2 linked regions of the Coturnix japonica genome follow. The main gene of each other region encodes a partner of the protein of the gene in region 2 in a complex. Links are inferred from orthologs where the notes say so. Each region holds a gene or a part of one and is shown on either strand. Other genes may lie near its edges. The genes, in order: PPFIBP1 and PPFIA1.

Region 1 (7,676 bases), on a different chromosome or scaffold from region 2:
TCCTGAGACTTACTTAGATGGCAGCCTTTGACAACGCAAAGATTCTCCAGTTTACAGTTCAGATGCTGCAATAGTTGGCTCGACTCTCTGGCTTGAACTCTCCATTAACACTGAAGGAAAAAGTCCTTACATAAAGGTGCGAGTCTAAACCAACTTTTGGGTCAGCATACTTGATCTTGGAGCCCTTTGCTCACAAATAGCATTCAATGGGATATACTATTCATTCCAAGGGTTGCAACGCTGCACTGCACAGCCAGAGCCCCTCCACTTCTGCCTCTCCTGCAGCAAGTGAAGATGGCCAAGGAGGGCACAGGGAGAAGAACGGTTATAGCTACAGCCAATGTCGAGACCTGTACCTAGGTATTTTTAACACCGAGGAAAGAAATCATCTCTTCTACCTAATTGGTTTATCTCGGCCTTTGTACAGAAACAGAAGCACAGCAGTTGGAAAAAGCATAAAGCTTTAACACGCAGCATTTCCCTCACGTATAACAGAAGACAGAAAGGAACAAAACACTCTGGAAGTTAAAGGTATCGAGAAATCATACATGCCCACAGAAGGGGCAACACAAACTGTGGGCAAGCAACAACAAACCCACTGTGATGACTGAACTATTAAGTGAAACTTCCAACCTTTACACAGGAGCGAAGTACAATCTAGGCAGCAGTGTCAGAAACATGACAGACATCCACTATCCTCAGCCCAAGCTGGACCAAACATACACCAACGTGTGAAAAAGAGAAACTAGATGCATGCTTCCCTGCACCTTGCAGAGCGTTCATCACTGAACACCCTTGCTAGAGTCTTCAGAGCAAGGAAAAACCCACTGAGATGGCTGTTAGGACTTAACATAAACAGCAAAGGAATGAAGTTAAAGATGTAACAGCTTTGGAAAACAACCCTGCAGCAAGAGAAACACTGTTACCCATAAAGATCAAGCCTGAATTCCGGCTCTGACTTCTCAAGAACTGGGTGGGAGATGTGATCTCACAGAAGGAACATGCAGCTTTTCCTAGGACAGGCTGCAAATAGTGCTTTATACATCAGCCACCTCCAAAGAGCTACCTGAGCAGTGACAGCCACTGATTCCAGAGCCAATGATTAAATGACAACAGTGAATCTTCCAGCAACACTCCTCATTTTCCTACCATGACTCAAGGGCAGGTTGATGCCCTTATCTTACTGAAGCTAGAATAGTCAGTGCAAATGCAAGGATTGGTGGGTGAAGAAGGAGAAAAAGACACGGTATTTCTGTTAAGGAGACACTGCAGAACACCAGCTCAGCTCTGGGCATGAAAACAAAGTGATCACAGGGCAGGACAGGGTGTGAATTTATAGTACATGCTCAATAAACATTAAGTGACCGCCTGGGTACAGACACCAGCAGTAAACACAATGTAGGCGATGTAGTTTACCTCTCTTGGACTGCACCCAAGAGCACAGTTGCTAATGAGATGACTAATGGGATCTCACTATTACAACTTGGGGGGGAGGGGGGGGAAGAAGGGAGAGTTGCTCAGCCTGAGTATAAAAAGGCATTAATCGGTTTTATTATTAAGGTACTAAGTGTTTTTAGTTATTCTTAACATACAGTTGTATGCACACTCTACATAAGAGGAGTGAACACAACAAAACCTGCCTGAACCTTCCAATCAACCCACTCCACATTTTTCAAGGCTATGGATGTAGTGAGGCCATACAAAAATGGGCCAGGACACATCTGAATAACCTTAAAGAAGCAACTACACCAGAGTTTTGCTTTGAGGGCAGAAAATAACAAAGGTCGTACAGACAAGAAGAAGCCACCGTGGGTATGCCAACCTAATGGCCATTTGTGAGATGAGGCACAGGACCGGCACCTTGCCAAAATGCCCACAGATTCAGCAGTGGGACACAGGGGCTCTCCTCAATTCTAACACCACAAGAATTTCCAAGACACTCCACTATCTCTCTAAATCCTGGCAAATATTTGGGCTATTTCTTTCTCTACAAAGAACTACTCCAAACTAGCAGACCCTCCCTCCAAACTGGGTACTTACTTTCCTGAACTGCTCTTCCCCCACCACAGGAGTCAAGGGAATGTTTTGGACCGTCATTATCAGAGCCATAGCCCAGATAACCCCATGCTCCTTCACCTATACAGAGACCTAATACGAAGCACCACAGAAGCTATCAGTTGGGTTTGCAGAACTCAGCTAAATTAGATAGCAGTGCTATCTTGCGCACCCCCAGTAAGCCAAAGGTCCATCTTGATGCCATCACATCACTCTTAAGAAAGTGACTAAGCTTTCTGTCCTCTTACTTCAGGGGAAGAACTTTCCGCTCGCTGAAACCATCTTGATTCCCTGATGTGGTGAAAGATGAAAACACCACGGAAGCCCCATTTGTGCACAAGAAGACACAAAACAACCTGCAGAACGCTGGGGGTCTGCACATCTTCACACAGATGTCTTCACACAGATGTCTTCACGCCATCCTGACCTGCCTGGTAAGCAGAAAGCAGTTTGTCCCCCACGGCACGGACAAGTGATGGAACCAGGCTGTCAGTACCACAGCAGAACAAGTCTCAGTCTCCCAGAGTATCTGTATTTCCAGGAACACCAATTACTGCAAGAAAGGCCTCCCACGACACCTCCACAGGCCTCCTCATCAGGACAACATCGCTTCCCACAGCGTGTTTTACACTGCAGCAGGCAGAACAGGCCGCAGCAGAAAGAAGACTCATAGCAAAAGAAGATAACACTCAGCAGAGCCTCCTGCCTTGTGTGACACCCCCGACCTCAAGGCACTCCACCGTGAGTGGAAGCAGAAACGTTACTCACCAATTTATCCTGCTGCAGATATGTGCACACTAGACAGGACAGCTCAAATGTTCTTCAGACAAACTGCAAAACCCAAAGCTCACCAAGAAAGCACATGAATCTGGCCCCATGTGTTTTGTCTGGCGCCCCTGCCATTATCTGACTTTGGAAGGCCATCCCGGCAGTGGAGCACCTATCAGTGCCCCGCTCCACAGGCAGCGTGCCTCAAAACACGAGCAGTGCTGCTATAGAGACAGAGGGCTCCTCGAGGCCCAACTCTGCAGCCAGGCAAACACGTGCAACTCCTTCGTGGAGGAGAACAGCAGCAACTTTGTACTCCAGGCACAGCAGCAGCAATCTTAAAGCATGAGCCATACGACACGCAGCGACTGTCACCCTCACGTAAATGCCGAACGATCCCCCTGCTGCTAGGAGCTGATCTACACCATACAGCTCTTTAAGAAACTGTGCTAAATCCTATCATCTCTGCCGGGATGGCTTCCACCCAAACTGTGCAGCGCTGCGGCTCCTCGTTTCCTACTGACATAGAGAAACCAAGAGACCAAAACACCCACTGCATTTGGAGCTGAGACCTCAAACAGACTTCAGCTCACCTGGTTTGTGGGACGTCTCTGCCACCTGTGCATGCTGCATCCATGAGATCCATGCTCAGGTTTTTATGGTAATTCTAAACCACTTTTGCCTTTCACAAACATAAATCTGAAGCGATGGCCACTATCTTTAATGGGAGCAATAAATCTGGGTTTCGCACACCGGAACCTCTTGCTGTCAGACACACTCGATCACGGAAGCACAAAGACTCTCGCTCTGGGTGACCCATTTTTGCTGCTTCATTTTTGGAATGCAGGCACTCACGCTGCTCGGTCGTGCTGCCATTTCGATCCACACCACGCTTACACGTCCTGCTGTCGGTTCTATCCGTCTTTGGGCTGATACAACCAGCACCAGTAGGGCGGGCAGAACCTGCGTCCCAAGCACCTCTGCCCAGGACCGCACACCGAAGCGGAGCACTAACAGCACAGCTCTCCTTCCCCCTGCAAACATCTACAAAGCACCTTTTCACTACCACGGCTGCACCCAGCAGGGCGTGAGCCAGCACGGCTATTTCGGCCCGTATCAGCCGCAGACCTAAAAGAAACAGTCTCAGAAGAAATAATTACAAGACACCGGAACCCCAGGCCCTACATCCAAACGCACTCTCCCGCTCGGGACACAACTCCCGGCCGAAGTTCCCCACCACTTGTAGCCGCAGCGCCCCGCCGAATCCCGCCCATAGGGACGCAGCCCCGCACGGCTCCCCGGGCACAGCGTAACTCCCAGCGGCTCAGGGCACAGCCCGCCCCGCCGGATGCAGCGGGGCACGCTGGGCTCGGCCCGGAGCAGCCGGGATGTTGGAACCCGCGCTCCTCCACCCCATGCGGGCCCTGCGCCTCCTCAGGGCGAGGGTGCGCGGCGAGACCCCCCCCGCGGTGCTGGACCGCCTCCCTCCTCCCGCCCGGTGCCCCCTTACCCGCGTCCAAACCCCTCGCGGGGCTCCCGTGCCTCCTCCTCTGCCGGCTCCGGGCGGCCTCCGTCCCGCCCCGCCCGCACCCCGCCTGGCACACGGCGGCCGGGACCCAGCGGGGCCGCCCCGCGCCGGGCGCTCGCCTCACACCCCGCCCCGGGGCCGGGCTTCCCCGACGGGGCGGGCGGCAGCGCCGGGTCGGGTCGGAGCCGATTGGGCCCGACGGCAGTCAGTCTGCAGGAGGAGGCGGACGGGGAAAGGAGGAGGGGGCGGTGGGACTGGGGTCCCTCCCGCCGCCTTCGCGCCTCGGGAGGATTTGGGCGTCTGAGCCTCAGTGTCGAGCATCGGGCTGTGGGGTTGTGCTGAGGGACGCTGCTCCTCCCGTGCCCTCCTCCGAGGACTGATGCTTTTGTATGTGGAAAAAGTGACTCGGTCGTGCTTCGCTTCTGAACACGGCTTCTTAAAAAGTGGTTTTCTTTCTATTCTATAGTGTGGAAAGCTAGGATTTGGGGTTCTCAGCAAAACACGCAGCCTGCAGCTTGCTGTTCAAGCACAGCACACGCAGGGGGAAGCTGATCTAAAGACATTCTTATGGCTGGTTACCTACCTGTGGCATAGGGCGCAGAGCTGCTGCACATCACAGATTGAACAGGCTGCAAGAAAAGGAGTAAATGCAGCTGTGCGACCCTAATCCCTGGCCCTGCCTGCTGGCCTTTAGCTCCCCCATCTCAATGCTTGTCAACTGCAAGTTTCAACCCTGTGACATCCATTTTGGCGATTGTTTTTTGCTCATTTTCTTGAGTCATTGTTGATTCCATCAAGGCTGGTGCTGCCCCTCATCTTGCTGTTGGCTTCAAACATGAGGCTCCCTGTCCTGCTCTCCATCCATTTCCCATCTCAGGGCTGACTGCAGCTGGATTTGCATCCTAACAAACACCCGGGACAGCTTTCAATCCCGGCTGGAGCTCAGTGTTCAGCAGGCTTTGCTTTCTGAGTCAACTGTTCATTTCTGTTAATTCCTTTTCCATTTTTATTAATCCTTTAATTCAGAAAGCAAAGATTCTTCTTACAGCACCTAATTCAGAAGGGCTTTGTTAGGACGGCATATGAGTGAGATCCACCTGAAAGCAAACTGAGCGGGCAGAGCTTTCAAACAACTATCAGTCCAAGAAAATGCCTTTGCGTTACAGAAAATACCTCTGCAAGTTAAGGCAAATCTCTGATAAGGTTTTCTGGCCTGCTTATCTCTCATCTCCCAGAACAGCTTACCCCTTGTTGCCCCAGGCTGGTTTGCAAGGGAAGGCTGATTTTCTCTACCTTTGTGAAAACACAGTATCTGAGTTGTCCCTCCGTGAGGGTCATGGGAGATGATGACAAACTGCAGCATTTCCCAGCATTTTTCACTGCCTGAGGAGGTGGAGGGAAAGATCTTTCCCCTCTTTGCAGTCATAACACTTACAGATCAGTAAGCGGTGGTAAGCCTAGAGTTTCAAGAGCAGCTGGAGGCATTTTGACGGTACAACAGACACTGTCTTACACTGTCTTCTGCAGGTGGTGCTTGGAGTGTTTGATATATCCACAGCGCTGTACAACACAGGACCTTGGTTTGCATGTCAGCTCCTCCAGCTCCTGTCATCACTCTATCTCCTCGTCATGTTAGAATCATAGACTAGAATCATAGGATCATTAAAGCTGGAGAAGACCACTAAGATCATCTAGTCCAACCATCAGCTCATCCCCACTAAGCCGTGTCCCGCAGCGCTACAGCTGTGCTGCCAGCCCCTCCTTTGCATTGGCGTTAGTGACCAGCAGCTTCCCATTCTGCTCATCTGAATTAGTGGAAAAATGACTGTTTTCTTTCAGTGTTATTTTTCAGCTGGAATAGCCCCCCAGGACTGCTGATGCAAAGCAGCGTGTAAAAGACCAGGGCTGTGCTGTCCACCCTCAGCAACTCTGAGAGCAGATTAAACCCAGTGCAAAATATCAGTTATCAGCATGCTTATTAAATCTGCGCTGGATCTTCTCAGTGTTTTTGCCTCAGCTTCACTCCTGAGTGATAAACCTATTGTTTAAAACAGTTTTAAGTGTGCTTATACTTAGCACGCCCTCACAGGCATCGCTATCATGTTTTGCACAGTTTAAGTGACCCACGGTTAACTGGGAGTGATTCACTTTTCAGTTTTGCCCTCCTCTGGTTTTCAAAGCACAGCCATCATCAGCCCCATTCCTTGATATCAATACTGGCTTATGGGCTGGGCTCTTTAACTACAACAACAGGCAGTGCACTCTGTAGCCAGTTCTCCTTTATTTCACTTGCTTTAAAACTTCACCACCTTGTTGGGCCCCAGAAATTTTACATTTAGACCTAAATCACTTGCCAAAACACAACAGCTGGGAGTGCTGAGAGATCTCCTTCCACACAGGTGGTAATTTCACACCAATGCTGCACATGTGCTTTCATTTTAGGAGAGCTTAAAAAGTGGATTCAGCAAGCTGCTCCCCTTCTTCCCAGCCCAGCATTGACCTCAAAGCTGAGTCACAGAATCACAGAATGACCCGGGTTGGAAGGGACCTCCCGGATCATGTAGTTCCAACCCCCCTGCCTGGCAGGGCACCAAACATACACCTTTACTAGATCAGGTTGCCCAGGGCCCCGTCCAACCTGGTCTTGAACACCTCCAAGGACGGGGCATCCACAACCTCCCTGGGCAGCCTGTTCCAGGGCTAACCACTCTCCTAGTGAAGAACTTCCCCCTAACATCCAACCTAAATCTTCCCTCTTTTAACTTAAAACTATTTCCCCTGTGTCCTGCTATTGTCAGCCCTTTCAAGAGTTTACTCCCCTCCTGGAGTAAGTTCCCTTCAGGTATTGAAAGGCTGCAATGAGGTCACCCCGCAAGGTGTCAAGGTGTTTTGGGGCCAGGCCTCTGCTCCTGTGTCCCCTGGCACAGCAGTGTCAGCTAGGGCTGCAGTGAGAGCTGCCCTTTGGTGGCAGAGCGGCACCAGCACTCATGCAGGAGAACCGTGTTTCTATCAGGGTGGCTTATTTTGCTTGACAAAGCTGGGATTTGCTTGCTCAGCAGAAGCTCAGCTTTACATCCACTTTGGGAATGTTTGCTTTTTGAACAACCACTGTAGCTGTGCTGTCTGAGCTGCCCTGGCTTTCAGCTACCCGAGGTACCCCAACTGTTAAAGCCTCAGCTATCACAGAGACAGCTGTCTGAGCCACAACCTTGAGCTTATCTATCACATCCTAGAACAAAGCTCTGTACAAACCATTAATAGCTGTCAAATCAACAATTTTACATTCCTTCACGTGTTTAAATTCCCCTCCAATCTCTTACTAAAA
Region 2 (7,226 bases):
TTATCTATGATGTCTTGGAGTTCAATCACTTTAGCAAGATTTTCATCATGGCACAAAGAACCATCAGAAGATCGCTATTAAGGAGAGAAAAATAATTACATATCACATAGAAATTTGAAAAAGAACAGTTAAGTTCACATCCCACCCCTGAAATAATTCTATTATGAGATAAACTGCAAAAACCTAAACAGGCTTTTTGATTAAATCTTCACTCATAATCTTCTATTATGGTTTGCAATTAAAATATTCTGGCTAATCTTAACATAATAATAAAAATAATCAGACAGCTTAAAGCAAATAGCCCTTACCTTCCCATTTGTAGTTGGTGTATTTTCTTGTTCGTGATTTATATCCAGCATCCCATCTGGAAGCGTTTTTTTCTGATTATTTTGCTCTTTCAGAATCATTAACTAAAAGAAAACAAAAGCTTATGTAAGTTTCAAGTTTAATTTCCATCTCAATAGCAATATAAAGAACAGCTGCAAAAGCAAAGGAGCAAAACAAAGTTACTGATTTCACTGCAAGGTATGTATTAAGAAAATATGTCACAAGTACTCAAAAAATATGCCACTGCTCCCCAACAGCAGCTGTTCTAAAACCACAGAAACTATTTTGTTTGTTTTTCTCAAGTTTGATTTTCTTTTTTTTTTCCCCCCTCTCTCCCCTTCTGCTCTTTCATAGTTACAGAATTAAAAACTACAGTCAACTCCACTTGGTAAAAATTAAAAGCACAAAATTGAAAGAAAATCTTTAATAACTGAATAAATGACAAGTATTGATTAAACACAGTGCACACCTGAAGAATACTTTTAAAAGAAACTTACCTCTTTATGTGTAGTACCTAGTTCTTCCTCCAATAAGCTACATCTTTCAAGTGCTACTCGTAACCTCTCTCTTACCTGAAAGAGTCATTTCAGTGATATCAACTATTTGAAATAAGGAAATCAAGTTCACACACTGTCATTCTGTCACACACTCTCGGGTTACAAACAGTGCTTTATTTTCACTACATTCAGAGATCAGCTTAATCTCAAGCCACTAGTAATTACAACAGGAACTACCAAAAAGAATTATATCTAGATAAACGAGTGTCTCACAATCTAGTTTTTTCTTCTTTTTTCAATCATTAGCATACTATATTCCAGCATGACCTGTACACATAGGCAAGAATTAAGCAAATCCAGAATTTACCCACCCTTTTGTAAGGTACAAAGCATGTGTGCTTTTCCTCATTCTCTACAAGGAAGAAAGGATATATATCTCCTGAAAATAACCTGCAAGACTTTATATACAAATTCACAAAAGTAGTTCAGCAAACTATGAGTTGGCAGCAAAATTCACAATAAGTTTCACCATTTGCATTGCCTGCTTCTAACATCAGGTACAGCTGAAGGGCGGAGCTCCTTTAAATCAGCTTTATTTAATAGCTCAGTGTAAGCAGATTTCTTTCCTCCTGTTCTCTCTAGTCCACTTGTTGTATTACACAATTAAAAGACTAAATCCTGATATTATACAGGTAAACAAACATGCTTTGCTCCAACAAATATATAAACCAAGCATGGTTTGGATGCAATATTAGCACATTTGACAGAATGATGGAATAAGCTTACTGCAATATAACACCTTATCTTGGGAGCACAGTTATTGACAGTATTTTAGTACGGTCTCCACTTTAATATAACAAGTATATACAACTGTATGGTTTACACTAAGAAGGAAAACATGAAGCAGCATAGTTATTACCTTTTCATCAAGGGCTTTATGGTGTTCAAATAAAGATTTTAGTGCTTTGAGAACTTCTACTTCACTAGAAACTCCTGCTGGAGACTGAGCTTGTCTCTTCACGACAGTCATTCTGAGAGACCGCTCATGCCTGGAGACGAGACACTCCAAATGTTCCAGTAACAGCTACAAAAAAAGAAAAAAAAAAGCAACAATTTTTATTCCCATTCTACAGAGTTACAGAAAACTGTGCCTCCAAAAACATGGCATTTTGACGTCTAAATTTCAAGCAACCATTAATTATACCAAGTCTAAGGATGCATTTTATTAACATTTCATTCATTTCACCCATACTAGAAGTGATATCAGAGCTAACGAATTCCCTATACTCTATGTAGTTTTAAAATCAGGTTTCTACTTAACTGACCCTTTCCAGTTCTTCCTCTAATCTGAAGAACAGCATGCTTGTCTGAAGGACATACAAATGAAATACCCTTAACTTTCTGCTGGCAGAATCTGTGTAATCTGATGGAAAAGACCACTACAGCTTGCCCACTCAACTCCTCTAATCTTGAGCACGATATATTTTCAAATCTGTAACTAGAAGAGAGTTGAATAACAGATAGTACTGTGATCTTAAATGCCTTTTTCCTGATTCTGCACAGCAATATTTGGAGCCATACATAAGCTTCCAGGCCTTCTTAACATACATTTGCACCCCCAGAATTACCCCTGTGCAAATAGCAAGGTAAGAAAGCATTGAGCTTTTCTAACTCAATATCCTTTTTTTTCCCCCCCTTCATTTCATTGGATGCTAGAAAACCAACGATCTTGGAGAGAAGACAAGGAACTAACCCTTGTATTATTTCTTTCAGCTTTCAGTTCAGCAATTTCTTCTTCCCTTTCAAGCAGCTGTTCCCTGCATACATTTAGCTCTTTTGTAAGCGCTGCGAATTCCTGAAATAAACCAGACAAATGTAAATACATTAAATCCTAGGATGTAGCAAGAGTGGATTCATATGAACACTTGATGGAATTTCTTAAAGAATTCATTTCAGATTTCTAAAGCCAATACATTTGTACAGTCACGATAAGCAGGCTTAAGTTTCAATGCTTAAAACAGTTATAAAGTGACAATAAAATACACTGGAACGGTACTATGATAACCTTCTTCTGTCTTTCCAGGTAATTACATGAGTTAGGGTAACCCTGTTCACAGAATCACAGAATTATCAAGTTGGAAAAGACTTGGAAGATCATCCAGTCCAACCATCACCAATACTTCCCAGCTAGATCACATTCATCAACACAACATCCAGACGTTTCTTGAACACTCCCATGGTCGGTGACTCCACCACCTCCCTGGGCAGTGCATTCCAATGCCTGACTACCCTTTCCAAGAAATAATACTTCCTAATGTCCAGCCTGAATCTCCCCTGGCGCAGCTTAAAACCATTCCCTCTAGTTCTATCATCGATTACACGAGAGAAGAGGCCAACCCCCAGCTCACTACAACCTCCCTTCAGTTCAACAAAGAGAAAAGCCTGTTTCTATTGCACTTGCATATTGTTTCTAAGGTTTGGGTTTTCTGATACAAAGAGATACTACTGCGCAACTGGAATAGCTACAATATCCTAAACTATTTCCATTCTCTAGCAACAATGTTACAAGAAACATAAAAGGCATTGGACCAACTGAAGGAGCACAATCCGGATACAATGTAAGATACAACTACATAGTATCATTCGGTAAATGCTGAGAATTCCATTCCAGCTTAGTTTGGTAACATTTCAGGTGTAATCTGAAACATTAAGAACAATTATTAGCAGTAAGCCTAAACATGAATGAGGTCATACTTTAGAGGACAGTGCTATATGAAACAGACCGCTTTTGTTAACTATGTCACTTAGGATAAGAAAATACACATCAGCCAACTCAGTAGCTGGTGAACATTACAGAAGATAGAAAAGCTAGTAAACTAATTAGTCTTCTCTATTTTTCTACTTTCTATAAAAGAGAAAGATAAATCATGTCTGTTAGAAAGCCCATAAGTACAGTTGCACTGCTAAGACAATCAAGGTAACAATAAGAATATGCTGTGTAAATACACTGCATAAAAGTTACTTCTCTAATCTTTCCAAACTCTGCAAGATACGCTGCTCAACTGGCAACAGCTGCATATCAAGTAAAGGCTTAAGATGGAGCTGTTTTGTAGTAAAATTCAAAGTGACAAAAAGCCATGCTGAAAACAAAAGGACACATCAACTATTTATACTAGTACGTCCATTCACTCTAACTGGAAGCTAAAACAAGCAGCCTAAAAACGTCTTAATTGAAGTAATTAAAAGACTGGTTTAGAATGCTTTAATCTAAAACACATACATGACAAAGAATTCTTTTGCACGATATATTGCCTAGAGAGAACTCCTTCAGGATTACTAACACAGCAGGTGCTAAAAGTTGTCATGAACAGAAAACAGCACCACCACAGATAGAGAATCCCTCATCATAACCACTCCTGCTAAATAAAAACTTATCATGCATATTCCAGTCAGAATTTGTGAGCATCATTAGCTCACCCCCAGTAACTCTGTGGGACTTTCCACGACTCCCAAGCAAATGACAGCATGCATCTCTTTTGCTCCAGATGGAAGCACAGGTAAACCCAGCCGAGGTTCTAAACGTGTAGTTCTTCACAGGCCCATCCCACTTATCTTTGTATATTATGCAACTGACTGTTTTCAAGTTGTAATGAAGTACTAGAAGTACTAAGTACAAGACTCAAAGTATTTCCAAAAGAGCTTGATACAAACTTACTTTATGGGTTGCTCTTTTCCCCCGTTTTCCAAACAAATAAAAATGCCTCCAAGTGCCAACATCAAAATCCAGAAGCATGGAGACTCAGAAAGGACATCAGGCTGACATGGTGAGCTCTACATTCCTCTAGACTATCTCTGTTCTTCAGGACAGAACACTGAAAGCAGTAAGGATTGCCAGACACTGTTTTGCCACTTGTCCTCAACTTAGTATCACTGTATGGCATTAATAAAAATGTTGCTGAGGACAACAATGAGCTCTGCCTACAGAAAAGCAGTGTATGTTTCAAAGGAAGTTGATTCACCCTTCAAATAATAATTACAGACAGTTCTGTTCCATTGCATTCTCCTGTGCAAATATAAACTGTAGCACAAATATATCATAATTCTGACACGAACCATCACACTGCGAGGCGACCCAAGAAGAACAATGTACATGGGAATTTATACTGCTGCTCCATAAACAGACTGACACGTATTTCTAGCATTGCATAATACATTCATTGCTGTTTGTTTTTACAAAACGTATTTGCTTAGAGTCCCATAAGCTGCTCCATAAAGAACACTCAAGTGTCCTCAGTTTCAGCTGATGCTGCCAAAAGACATGTCCTTTCTAGTTTAAATCACTCTCTTCAGCAGTAGATAATTTGTGATTTCCTCAAGCAGTTCGAAAGGAAACTTTGCAACTTCATGACCTAAAAACATTCTGATTTATCTCACCTTCTCTGGCACTAAATCAATGTACAGAAGCAAATACAAGAAACAAGAAAATTCATAAGCAGCTTTTTTACTTGTCCAAATACCATATTGCTTTGTACATAAAGAGAAGCTTGAAAGTTTCAGAACTGAAGATCTGCTTTGCTTCCAGTTGCAATCAAAATAATAAATACTCCACTCTGAAATTGACAGGAGTGGGAACTCAGAATAAGCCCGACAGAGCACTTACTACAAGAAACAGTGTGCCAAATATACTAGATAAATATCCTCTGTTGTTTAGAGTGCACTGGCAAAAACCCATGTAGTAAACTGAAATGCTTACTCAAAAAAGTAACTTTCTGAACCAAACGACACTCAATGTCAGAAAAGAAAACTCAGCAGAAAACTAAACTCAGAAGTATTAGCTCTGTTGCTGTTCAGTAATATATTTTCTGGGTTTTATCCACATATTCCAACATTTCTATATGTCTTCATTAAAAAGAACTGACCTTCACCCCCCAGTTCTAAACACCACAGACATTCTTCCAACAAGTAGCACCAGCTGATCTAGCTGTCAAGCCTGTAGAATTGCAATGTATGATCTTATATTTGACTACTTAAAAGATGATATAACATGGGTTGTACAGCAGGGATGCCCTTTCTATGATAACTGCAGAGAACAGTAGGGTTGCTTGAGACTTGCTTAAACATAAGACATTTTTGCACAGAACACAAACACCACTCAAGCAACTAAGGATTCAAGATTAACGGTAACAAGGTGACTATAAAACTTACTTTAAGGATAAGAGGGCAAGAAAAGCTTTTAGCTCATCAAGGAAATATTATGTATTAAAAAAATATCTTCTGGCAATACAAGGATGAAGATGCAACTGTTGCACCTCTAGGAACATCTCTGCCCCAACTATGTGAGCAATATTTACCTATTTAATCCTTAAGTAACGTTCTGTTTTACTGTTAACATTCTGTTCTGTAATCTGCACATCAAACAACCTACACAAGTATCCAATATGCTGAAAATATGGTAAGAACAACAGGGGAACAACCCAGGCCATCAGGGATGAGAAACCAAGGTAAATATGTGACAAGTTTCAATGACGTTATTCATATTACATGCAATCCATGCTTACTCCAAACACTGTGCACACAGAAATGAGAACTGTCATAAATACAACAAAGTAAACCTAAATATCTACACTTAACAGGATATTTAATAGCCAACTCATTTTAAAACTAATGGTTATAGACAGCAGCAGTGGCCAATATCCCAACATAACTGGTTTTAAAATACACATTTAATAGAACTGTTTAACAGAATCTGGAGGGGTCAAGTACCAGCAAGCAAGTTTTGTAGCTATTGACTCACACCAGTTCACCTTTTTCAGCTCACAGGATTATTTAATAATTCAAGAGCAGAGCTACAACTCAAAAGCACTTGCATGTTTTGATCATTAAAATCCTGCCTTCCAAGAAAATGCAGAAACCCCAGAGGAAACAATAACCAACGTAAGCAGCGCTTTGCCTATCCAGCCCAATAAATCCGATTACTTTCAGCCTTTCCAGTATCTATGGCATGCTAGAATGGAAAGACAAAAATTAGCCTAGAATGTATAAAAAAAGAATTTGCTTTTCACCCAATGAGATTACTTTCACCCAATGAGTAAGCATCAAACACAGATATGGTTATGTCAGACTCCTGAGAGTGAACTTAAAAGATCTTTCACTCTCAAACTGGCAGAGAACCTGCCTGCCGGTAAGAACAGTGCAGTAAACACCGCCTTTAAAAATATCCACCCTCCTCTCCTATTCCTCATTTTGCTTAAGAGGTTTAAGTAGCTCACAAAAAATACCAAACTCCGCTATTAAAACACAGGTGCAAATTTCTTCAACAATTACAATTTTTTCACATTCCAGCCACCGACACTGAGATAGTTTAATGAGTAGTTACTAATAAATTCAATACATATTAAAGTT

The links.
Region 1: PPFIA1 (region 2) and PPFIBP1 share a complex: the UniProt entries of both Homo sapiens proteins name them as parts of the cortical microtubule stabilization complex. The link is inferred for Coturnix japonica from reciprocal best matches to the Homo sapiens genes PPFIA1 and PPFIBP1.

Annotation. Positions count from the first base shown.
Region 1 is NC_029516.1:62,677,282-62,684,957, reverse strand, and holds the start of PPFIBP1 (liprin-beta-1), read right to left. Parts: upstream 4,471-7,676; 5' UTR 4,334-4,470; intron 1-4,333. UniProt on the Homo sapiens protein: May regulate the disassembly of focal adhesions. Did not bind receptor-like tyrosine phosphatases type 2A.
Region 2 is NC_029520.1:6,955,199-6,962,424, forward strand, and holds part of PPFIA1 (liprin-alpha-1), read right to left. Parts: intron 2,680-7,226; coding exon 2,578-2,679; intron 1,909-2,577; coding exon 1,744-1,908; intron 900-1,743; coding exon 825-899; intron 411-824; coding exon 309-410; intron 75-308; coding exon 1-74. UniProt on the Homo sapiens protein: May regulate the disassembly of focal adhesions. May localize receptor-like tyrosine phosphatases type 2A at specific sites on the plasma membrane, possibly regulating their interaction with the extracellular environment and their association with substrates.